Drosophila melanogaster: one gene and its partners. The protein of the gene in region 1 interacts with the protein of each later gene in a pairwise test. Each region holds a gene or a part of one and is shown on either strand. Other genes may lie near its edges.

The links. Proteins that work in one complex are often made in the same cells at the same time.
Region 2: the proteins of CG15012 (region 1) and PIG-C interact in a two-hybrid assay, tested with the Drosophila melanogaster proteins (one large-scale study listed by BioGRID).
Region 3: the proteins of CG15012 (region 1) and Cnep1r1 interact in a two-hybrid assay, tested with the Drosophila melanogaster proteins (one large-scale study listed by BioGRID).

Annotation. Positions count from the first base shown.
Region 1 is NT_037436.4:4,290,507-4,294,094, reverse strand, and holds CG15012 (uncharacterized protein), read left to right. Parts: upstream 1-1,848; 5' UTR 1,849-1,941; coding exon 1,942-2,025; intron 2,026-2,085; coding exon 2,086-2,220; intron 2,221-2,278; coding exon 2,279-2,408; intron 2,409-2,471; coding exon 2,472-2,581; 3' UTR 2,582-2,887; downstream 2,888-3,588. Other genes in the region: Fdx2 (ferredoxin 2), read right to left, coding at 925-1,264, 1,353-1,471; Hexo1 (hexosaminidase 1), read right to left, coding at 2,916-2,982, 3,045-3,588.
Region 2 is NT_037436.4:3,317,502-3,321,202, reverse strand, and holds PIG-C (phosphatidylinositol glycan anchor biosynthesis class C), read left to right. Parts: upstream 1-1,970; 5' UTR 1,971-2,010; coding exon 2,011-2,511; intron 2,512-2,613; coding exon 2,614-2,973; coding exon of another isoform or gene 2,974-3,051; 3' UTR 3,052-3,175; downstream 3,176-3,701. Other genes in the region: CG12016 (uncharacterized protein), read right to left, coding at 1-458; Dpm2 (Dolichyl-phosphate mannosyltransferase subunit 2), read right to left, coding at 552-688, 1,298-1,406.
Region 3 is NC_004354.4:22,942,953-22,946,865, forward strand, and holds Cnep1r1 (CTD nuclear envelope phosphatase 1 regulatory subunit 1), read left to right. Parts: upstream 1-2,368; 5' UTR 2,369-2,532; coding exon 2,533-2,904; 3' UTR 2,905-3,056; intron 3,057-3,118; 3' UTR 3,119-3,387; downstream 3,388-3,913.

The DNA of each region.
Region 1 (3,588 bases):
ACAATAAGTTAATATAGCAAATGTATATATTAAATTATTTATTTATTACTTTATTTGATAGCTGCGAAATAATAAAAAGTTTACTTTTATTAAGCGACAAGTGTTTTAATGCGTTCTAATAGTACCTCTGATTATCGGAGCTTGGGAACGACTGATAAGGAAACGCAAACAAAGCTAATGCAAACTTTATCAGTGTGATGAAATGTTTGTGTGGGGGGCTTTGATAACAGCCCTTGTGTTGGCCGTGACTGGAAGTTTTGGTATAAACAAAACAAGTTTGGCAAAACGAATGAATAGAATAAAGAATAATATGGTTCGCATTGTCATACAAGCGAGGCAAATAGGAATATAAAATACGATCATCTTGAATTTGCTAACTAATGATCATAAACCTGTGTTCAAAAGTATACTACACACTTTTATTAGAACTATGATGCCGAGGAAAATCTTTGCGTGTGCCTGTTTATTTGCCGAGCACAACTTCGAGATCATGAATACACGCAGAAAAACACTTTTTAGCTGAGATATTTAAAAAACAAGAATGACCGATTTAAAATCGGCTAGTTTTGCCAATAGAATTAAAAAGGCAAATGAATTATTGGTTAAAAATGATATCTACGCTGGATGCTTTCCTCCACAGTTTCAATAAAACCAAGAGAAGTACGAAAATACATGTAAATTTATTGCAACACACTTATTTACATATTGATCTAATCCCTTTGAGCTTAAACACTTTAAAAACAACAGCGGACGCTAATCCGCAACTGGAATCGGATTAATGCGCGCATCCATTATAGCCGCCTGAGGTTTGTGTCCCTGGGACAATACATACGATTTCGTTCAAAAATATTGACTACATCTAGGTTGAACTAAAGCGAATTAGCACTCAAATTTGTAACAATTGATAACAGTGGTGGTGTCTATCTACGCGGCACGTGCGTCATTGATGGTGGAGGGCACATGTACCTCCAGGCCCTCCATATCCTTGGACAGGGTGATCTGGCAGCCCAGCCGCGAGGTGTCCGTCAGTTCGTACGCCAAATCCAGCATGTCCAGCTCCTCATCACCGGGTTTGTCGGGCAGTTTCTCGAAATCGCTGGTCTTGAAGATCAGGTGGCAGGTGGAGCAGGTCAGCGTGCCCTCACAGGCCCCGAAACCATCCAGATCCACATTGTTGTTGACCACCACGTCCAGCAGGGAGTCACCCACTTTTCCGGACGTCTTAATCTTGTCCCCATTGGCACGCACGAAGGTTATGTTAACACTGCAATAGCGAGATTGGTCAATGTTTACGCTGCTCTGGCGGTGTGGAGCTACCATTGTAGTGCTCGTGGGGTGGAGAAGATACTCACACATCTTTCGTTTTCAGGGCCAATCCCGTCGAGAAAGTACGCGTTGCGATCGGCGATCGCAAATTGAGGCTGCGTAGCGCCAATCTGGAGGCAGCTCTGCATGAGTTTATGACTAGCATTCTGGTTAGGATTCCTTTGCAATCTCTTACTATAACTGACAACACGCACCCACTCGTGTCGCTGCGATCGGTTGTTAAATAATAAGGAAATCAATTAAATTTTGTTAAACGTGAAGTTGTGTGTGACCGTATTGGACTTTCTGAAAAAGACGTCGTGCCTTTAACGTACTAAAAAACAACAACAAACTGCATAAGCAGTAATTTTAAAGTTAAACATTTAAATGTTTGCACAAATTATTGCACAAAATATTTAATTAACAGCAACTTTCTTTTTATAACGGAGTTAATTTGTGTTACACAAAAAGTATATGTTACTGCTGCAGTTCAGGTGTGAACACACTAAATACTGAAACAGGGTTGCTACAGCGAGTGAAGAAACCCTGTATTCACCTGCAGACAGACAACCCTGTGCGTCAAAACAAGAAGATTTAAGAGTGGAATAAATTTAATTACGTTTTAAAACCTAAACAATGGGCGTGTTGGACAATATTGCGTTGCATTTCACGGGGGATGCGTCCAGGAACAGGAACACCTCCATAATAGCCGGACTTCTGGTAGGCTAACACCCGCAAACAAAGAGCCGCCCGCCTGACAGTGCAACTTTTTCTCCTTAGTTTTTCGCAGGATGGTGGGTTCTAATCGATGCCATGTCCATCGACGGCAAGCACCAGATTACCACAGGACACGTCTTCATCGGCATCTTCGGGACCATCAGCTTCTGCATGGTGAACGCAGTGAAGGGAGAACATGTAACACACACTTATCATTGGGCTTAACAAGTGACTCACTTCTTTTGTTTGTGCGCAGATTTCTGATGAGAACTCATCGGAGTCCGGCGCCAGGATAGCGAAGATCTGGCTGCTTGTGGGCTTCCTAATGGGTTTTGCCTCCATCATTGCCGCCATCTGGGTGATGATCGACGACTTCATCAACAATGGTGAGAAATAAACAGATATTTAAGGATTCCTTAGCTGAATTGCACCCACTTATCGTTTTTCAGAAAAGAAGGATGGCTGGTTTGGCGTGGCTCTGCTGATGCAAAACGTCTTCATCCTGTTCGCCAGTTTGGTCTACAAGTTTGGACGCAACGAGGAAGAGTGGAATGAGTAAAGCTTCCATTCAAATTATTGCACAAGGGAACGCAGCTTTTAGTATCTAGACTCATTACGTACATAATCAGGAGTCCAAGGAGTTTATGCTTGAGGCCGAGGACACCATCACTCGCAAATCCTCACCCCACACATTGAAGCGTAAAATGTCCAACTCTGCTACTGTTCATATTCGAAAAAATCGTCGAGTCTGTACGGATTTCCCTCACTATTTCCGACATTCTGCCGCTTTGAATCGGAAAAGGGCGCAGAGCAGGGCCAATAATCTCATTTATATTTAACAAAATAAACGACAAGTCACTTGCGTAAGGCCACCTTTGAGCTGTACTTTATTTTCAGGCAGAGAGCGTTGTGAGAAGCAACAGGACGATCAACCCAAGCCGCCCGCTGCCCCGACTACATCTACAAGGATAGCGACCGTTAAGAGAAATGGTTTAATAGCTGGTCAAACTTGTGCATCGTACGCGTCAATGGGACACTCGTGCTCGTTTTGCAGGCACCACTGCGGCTGCATGGCCTCTGCGCCCAGACCATTGTCCACCAGTCGCTGGCGGTGGAGCAGCAGACGTGACTCCGCCTGGCGCCAACCTTCGGCAGGATTTGACCAAAGTCGTTCGGCCAGGGCACTGGCCCTGGGCCAGAAGCGGTTGTCCAGTGTGTGCTCGTCGATCTGCTCTGACCAAATGGCTCCCTCCGCGCCCAATACATGATGCTCGTAGTCGCCGGCAATGGATTTCAAACTATTGTCGTACACCTTCTGCCAGCCAATGTAGGGGGAGCACCAGTTGTTTCCATCGGTCACCCAGCCAGCTCCGCCGCAATCCAAGTACAGGGCATCGTAGTTGGACACAATGATCTTGTAGCCCCGCTCCAGAATCTTCTTTACCTTCGGATCTACACCAGTGGTCCAGATCTGAATGATGTAACGCTCTGGGTTCAGATACTCGTCAATGAAGGGCTCCTCAGTGAGTCCACTAGTCCACAGAATGATGGGCGTGTGCGTACCAT
Region 2 (3,701 bases), 970 kb from region 1:
TGGTGATGGGGGTGATGTCTCGGGTGCTGCTGTGGCGGATATTGATAGACCCCGCCATTGGCCTGTTTGTAGTAGTTCGCATTGTACTGGTACTGCTGCTGGAACTGCTGGGCGTAGTGCTCGAAGTTGGCATACGTCACAAGGTGCTCCTGTGGCTCGGGAGCCACATGGCGCCCCTTGATTATGTGCGCTATGTCGTTCAGCATCTTGGCCATGTCCAGCGAGGTGATGAGCTCGAAGTTGATGGCGTTGAGCGCCTCATTTCGCTGATGTCGCTTGTCCTCCACGGGCAGAAAGTAGTCATCCTGCGAGATCAGACGCACCTCGCCAATGGTGTACGGCGAGTTCCACAGCGGCGCTCCTCTCAGACCCTTGAAGTAGTCGTGCAGGCTGTGGGCTAGCGTAGTTTTGCCACCACAGGTGACTCCCGAGATACCAATGACCAGCCACTGCGGCATCTTGTCCACGACTGACTATCGCTCTTCCTTGTTTTTCAGTGGAATCGTACGTTCGCGTTCGCACCGAGCAAGATAACCCCCCGGATAACCCCCTTAATCACGTTTCACTCTCAGGCTCCAGATGTGGTAAAAGGAGAACGCGGCGATGCCGCCGAGGAAGATCACCCCGAACACGGTGGGCACAATGAAAGCGTACTTCAGCGGTGGAAAGAACAGCCGAATGGGATTGCCTGTAAAAGTTTGTAAAGTATACTCATGTTCACAAGTGTTTCATTTGATAACAGGCCAGGAAAGAAAATACGTAAGTATATTGTTTTTATGATTACTCTTAATAGCAACAAATTAAAATTGTCACGGAACGGCAAAACTACGATCATGAAATATTTACGTATAAAGTGAAGAGCCAATATCCAGGCGGAAAAACTACCGAAAATAATTAGCTAAGTACACACCCAGATTTGGAACCACATAATACAGTGGTACCACTGGTTAAGCACGTTTTCGTTTTTATCGCTGATTGTACATGCCTAGACTCTACAATAGCTAACTAGTTTGACTGTGCACATATCGGGCGAATACTGTACTCCTATCATCACTAGTCGTCGGTGACCTTGACCCGAGCTTAGAGCATCGTACAGCCGCATTCCAGGTAACCCGTGTTAGGGTGGTCACCTCTGTAAAACACACGGGTTCATCCTCGTACACTGCCAACTATATATAATTGAACATCGTGACCAATTTACGCCGCGGCGTCACTTTAATTACTATACAAAAGCGCGAGATTATTCAATAAAACTTATGTATTAGCGGGTGAATAACGGAAGCCGTGGAAAACTCACCTTCATCGATGAGCATAAACGGGAGGACGGCCACCCAAAAGAAGTAATAGAAGAACACGGCGATTGCAGATATCAAAATGATTTTCCCGAGTTGCGCATTCGAAGCCATAAATAGCTATTCTCGGAAATTCTGGGGTTTCTCTGGCGAGAGAACACGCGACCGGCGATTTGTTTGTAAAACTGCTCATGGGGCGTTCTCCCCGGACGGACTGCTTCACTGTCCACTGATCGTTTACCCGCCGCACGAATCCCTAATGTTTTTTCGTAGCTGCCGATTTACTTTCGTGGCGTAATTGTAAACAAAACAAACAAGTGCGTCAAAAAATTTCCGAATTCAAGGTAGTGGTGGTTCAACCACTCGAACAAGTATCGATAGCTCGAGTAACTGTTTTGCGCAACACCAGCGGATGTTCTTATCGATGTAGGCGAGTCACTTCTGCTTGGGGATAATTTTCAGAATAAGATTTGTATATTATTAGCTTGCTGTAAAACCCCTTGTTTAGATAATGAACAGTTTATTAATATTTCAAATTAAACTATCATCATCGATATTTCAAGTGAAACATGCATCACTATGACAGTGTGACCAGCACTTACTTTCAATACTTTTCAGTGGATAAAACAATATCGATATGTCGATAGTAACTGATACTATCGAACGCTGATAACCCAGCACTAATAGAATTGTAAACAAACAATTTTTAAATTTAAGAATGGTAAAAAATGGGCAATCGAAACGGCAGCCATGGGTGAAGAACCTGTACTCCAACCGGGAATATCCGGACAACTACACGGATGCCAGCTTTCTGAAGGATCTGCGCACGAATCTACATTGTAGAATATACACGTTCGGCGAAGCAATTGCCGGTATTACAGTGCTTAATAATCAGATCTCCTGCATCACCGGCTTCCTAATACTCTACCAACTTATGCTCAGCGACAGCGTGTCGCCCACCACGATCCTGGTACCCAGTTGCGGGATCACAGGCATTGGATACCTGTGCTACCGAGGAAGGAGTCTCAGCTGGGCCCTGCTGGGCGAGGATTCCAAAACCCTGGTCACAGTGGTCCTCTTCGGCTACTTATTCTCACCGATGCTGCACACCCTAACGCAGGCCATCAGCACGGACACCATATACACAATGACCTTCTTTGTCCTTCTGGGCAACCTGATATTTGGACACTATGGATTGGATGTAGCCATGGTCTCTAAGGTAGGCAATATTTACGGCTATTGGTGTTGATTGTATATTGATCTTGACTCCACCTCAGAATCCTATATAATACAAATACTTCTTGTTCCATGTTAAGCGCAGGCCGTCTCGTTGAATGCCGCCATATTTGGAGCAATTTGCTTAGCCTCCCGCCTGCCGACTTCGTATCACGCCTTCGTGCTCCTTGTCGAGGCTGCCGTCTTTTTCGTCCTTTATCCCATAATGACGGAAGCGAATTGGCATGCTGGATTCATGTTGCCTATATTTGCAATATGCTGTATGGCGCTGTACTGTATATCGCGCCCGGTGCTCTATCTCTACGCCTCCACCACCATTTTCATCAACTTTGTCTGCCCGTTCATATTCGTGTGGCAGCAGCAGTACAAGTTCAACATTCACGGGCCCTGGGACGAGGCCATCGTGGAGGAGAACACCGAGGAGAACCTGGATGGGAACTTATAGCGCCAGCTGCGCTTCTCAGAACAGTTGCCGCCACGACTGGGTAGCGGCGACGTCGAGGAGCACTTCACTGATCGCTAAACCATTGCACGCTTATTTTTATAACTTTGTAAACTCATTCCAAGCCATTGATGTTAATCTTTTGTATCATGTTATATCTGTTAGTTTGTAAGTAGCGTTTTAATAAATTATACTTTTTGTGTTTAAAACCATAGCACTTTTAAATTTGTGTAATTTTTAGGGGACTTTCTTTTGGTCCTATGAATGGCTTTTTAAATAAATTGTTATCAACTTAAGGCAAAGGTTTTTCAATTGAAAGATAATGGAGTTAAATTAACAGGGTGAGTTTTTTGGCTTGGTTGTGTTTTACTCAGACTAAAAATAAATTTAGTTAAAGATTATTTATCGTCAGCGACTAAAACCCGTTTCGTAGATAACAATTAAACATTCGCATGAGCATACATTGAATATATTTGACCCTATCTAACGCAAATAAATTGAAGCAATTGCTTTAATAATAGACTATGGAATATGGATGAGTGACATCTGTATTAAGTGCACGCCCTTGGGTTTCCCAGAAGTTCCTAGTCTAACCAGAGATTTAATTATTTTAGTATTCTGCGTTTTACCTATCTATGTAATGCATGCTGTCCTGCAAGCTACTTCCACAGTTTCAGTAAGCATTCTTGAGAGATAAATAATCCAGATTACATCATATAGTATCGCTGTAC
Region 3 (3,913 bases), on another chromosome or scaffold:
ATCAAAACTTTCAAGCGAGCTGTTAAAAGAGCCGCACGAGAGCAGTCTGCAGCTCAGAAAGTTAGATTTTGTGTGGGAGAGCGAAAGAGATCGAGAGAATAGGTGCACAGTGCAAAAAAACAACACCAAAAAGCACTGCGAACAACGCACAAAAGGGAGAGTAAACAAAACAAAAAGAAGAAAAATGCAAAATACTTTGTATATTTGTTTAAACTACTGCACAAAACACAAAGAATCACTCGCGAAGCGAACGGATCTTTAATAATTATGTTTACAATATATGATAAATAAAGAAGATTATTAAAAACCGCGGCTGGTTTGACAAACACAAAATAAAAATCGAAGCACAAAAAAAAAAAAACACGACTGTTCGCTTTGAAGTTAGGATATTGATATTTAACTTTCCTCCAATATACACTAGTCCGCATAAGTATTTGGACAAAATAAACGCTGCACATTTGTCAGTGAAACTTTTAAATGGTTTGATATGGTAGTATTGATTATTTTGTATTTTTTTGTGTTTTTAATTAAACTTAAAAAGTTATAAACAACTTAATGAAACATGATAATTTTTTGTTTGGCATTATATTTTGACAAACTCATTTAGTAAATGGTGTTCTGCTTTTGAGCACGTGTTAATCAACAATTGTTTAAATTGAACTTTTTTGGATATTGAACTTTAATAAAAAACAAAAAATTAATTGATAGCCATGGGTAAAAAGGCTAAGTTAAGTTTATTTATTAGATCAATGGTTGCACAGTTTAACGTTGGAATTAAAGTAAAAAACATTGCAAATGAGTTTAATGTGTCGCGACAAGCTGTGTATTATCAAATTAAAAAGTTTAAGAAACATAATGACTTAAACCTAAACAAGAACAGGCCGTTGCAACGCAGTGGAATCTGACCTCCAGCCTTCCGAAAAGTGAACGTAAGGCAATCAGTGAGTGGACATTTCGTCGACGTTTAAAGGAACAGGACACTGCTAATCAGGTATATTTTTAAAAATTAACTAGCTTAAAAGGCTGAAATTTGCAAAGGAATTGGCTTTCTTTATGTCAAAGCAAACGAAGATATTAGTAAGTGGCTAGTCATTAGTAACTTCTAGGAGAACAGGTAAATAATCTGAACTGAGAGTGTTTATTACTCGCGGAGTTATAAGATATTGTGGGCGATTTGTTAGGAAAAAGTTTAGAGTACATGGTTGACCGTGCTTTCCTGCAGGCATATAGGTGTGGTCAAGGGGATACAGTATTTAAAAGTTGTTGCTGTCAACTTTGGATTTTAGCAGGTTACCCCACGAGTTTGCCCGGCGACATCCCCAAGACTGGTGTCGGCAATTTAGGTCACCTCCTACAATATAAGGCACATTTGCGCTGCTTAATTGGCGAATGTCGGACAAAAAGAGTTGATTTTTCTGAGGATTTACTTGACCTCATGGAAAGTAACAAGACTAAATAAATGTCTGAGTGCCAACTATATTAAAAATATTTACGCCAATAGGTAGCAGGAAATGGCGAATACTTGTTTATATACATGTATATTGCAACCCCTCCCCCTCTTTTGACTGTTCGATCGTTTCAATAACAGCTATAGTTGCGTATTTTAACGTGTTGTAAGATGTTTTTAACCAGGTTTCAGAAACTAGGCAAATGTCAACATTATTACTATATAGAAATTGAGAAATTGATAGTCAGAAACGCTTCCTTTTGCCTGTTACATACTTTCAACGAATCTAGTATATCCTTTTTCTTTACGAGTAACGGGTATAAAATGGTTAGAATTCCGTCGTGCAATGCAATGTATTTCTATGTTTTTGAAAAACATTCCAAGCCAAATTATATGCACTCGCGTGATGGCTCTATAAAAATAAAATTTTTCAATGTGAAACACTCAATCAAATCAACAATCTTAGGCATAACTAGAATCTGCAGGATTAATCTTAACTTTGTAGCTTTTATAGTTCCCAAAATTTCGACGTTCATACGGACGGAGAGAGTTACAACAAAGACACTACAATAACAAAATGCGTAACGCCATACGATTTTTTTTTTGGCGTGGCTCTAGAGGTGGCTCCAGGGTCTCTCGAATTTTTGTTCAAGAGCGAGAGAGCGGAAAGCTGTACAGCGAACGTTTCATTTCTACGCATACATTCTAGTTTCTTTGTTTACTACTATGGTGATCTAAACGAAATATAACAATATAAACATTTATTTTAAATGTGGTGGGATAATGCATTACATTATAGGCAAAATAGTGGATATTTTACAATCTCAATGTATGTACTTTTTACAAGGAAGTAAAAGTGAAAGCATAGAAACCATCACAGCACTCGTTTCTTGAAAATCATATCATTATTACTTTGTCTTTTTTTTCAAACAGATTTCGTCTTTACCGAAAAAAATTATTATCGTGTCAGTAAAAATTCTGCAAATGATGCGGCCTTGCTGCTGTTCGTAAAATAGTAATTAACGGGGCAATCAGCATTGCAGCGCCCAGGGGACCGCATTAGAGTCAACTCCTTTAGCAACAGAATGGAGGACACAGATCAGGAAGACCTGCTGGCTTTCGAGCGTCGGCTGGCTGAGGTGGTAAACACTGAGAAACGGAGTTCACTCCGCTGGCGCTTTGTTCTGGGCGCCATCTTCGCCTGCTCGGCGATCAGTGCCTGTCATTGGGTTCGGGATGCCAAGGAAAGCGAGTCGGTGGTTTTCCAAATCCTGTCCAGTCAAAGCGCCTTTGCCTTCTCCCTGGCAACCATATGCCTGCTAATCTTTTATGGATTCAATCACGCCACTAAGCAGGACCCCAGTATCCTGCGTGACACCCAAGAAATGCTGTCTCCGTTCCGCCTTAACATTGATAACCAGGGACGTCTCATCCTACTTCCACGGCAGACAGAGTAGCTGAATATATGTATATCCCCAAAAACACATTTTTATTGACGGCGTTCCAGTGGAATAAATGATCCAGTCAATAAATGATCCAGCTAGTCAAATAAATGATCCTCAAAAATGGAAATGGACTAGGTATTGCACACCATGACAAATTTCGCGAGGTGACTTCTTGAAACTAATTGTTTTTTATTTACTTTTGAAACGTTATAAATTTTATTTCTAGTTAATTAGCGCTTAGACTAGCGACGACAACAATACAAAAAAGTTCGCTGACAATAATGCTTAGCGATCAAGAAGCGAAGAGTGGACTTAAAAACATGCATTGCATAGAAATGACCGAGATAGAGGGCTGTTAGTGCTGCGGCCTTAAATTATAAAAGGCTACAGAATTCGATTTTGCTGTTATGAAATCAAAAGGAGTTGGCTGCTGTCGACACAACAAAAGTGGGCATAAGTATTTAGACAATAAATACATTCAATATATTTGTTTATAACTCATTGTTTACTTAATGGGAAATTGTTTAATAATTTTCGTATATATGTAGAATATACATATACATATATATGTATTTATATGTATATGTATATGTATATATGTAGTAAAATAATCATATGGATTATTTAAATGTCATAAATTTAAAAGAAAAAAATCAACAAAAAAATTATAACAAATTAATAAAAAATATACCCTCTCTTAGCGTCTATCAACTTTTGGAGACGTTTTGGTACAGAGTGTACCAAACTGTGGTTATAATCTATTGAAATATACTTCCATAAGGCTTGAATTTCCAAAATCGTTTCTTCGCGACTCCTAGATATGTTTGCACGCCTTTTCTTTATACATATATGACCAGAGGTTTTCTATTATGTTGAGGTCTGGACCTTGAAATGGCCAACCCAATGTGTTTACGTTAACATTTTTCAGAAACTGCGTAATTAGCTTGGCTGGAGTATATAGGACTCCCCAAAAAATTTATCACCAGAGGGGAATGCATGATGCTGCGCAAATGGGATACAT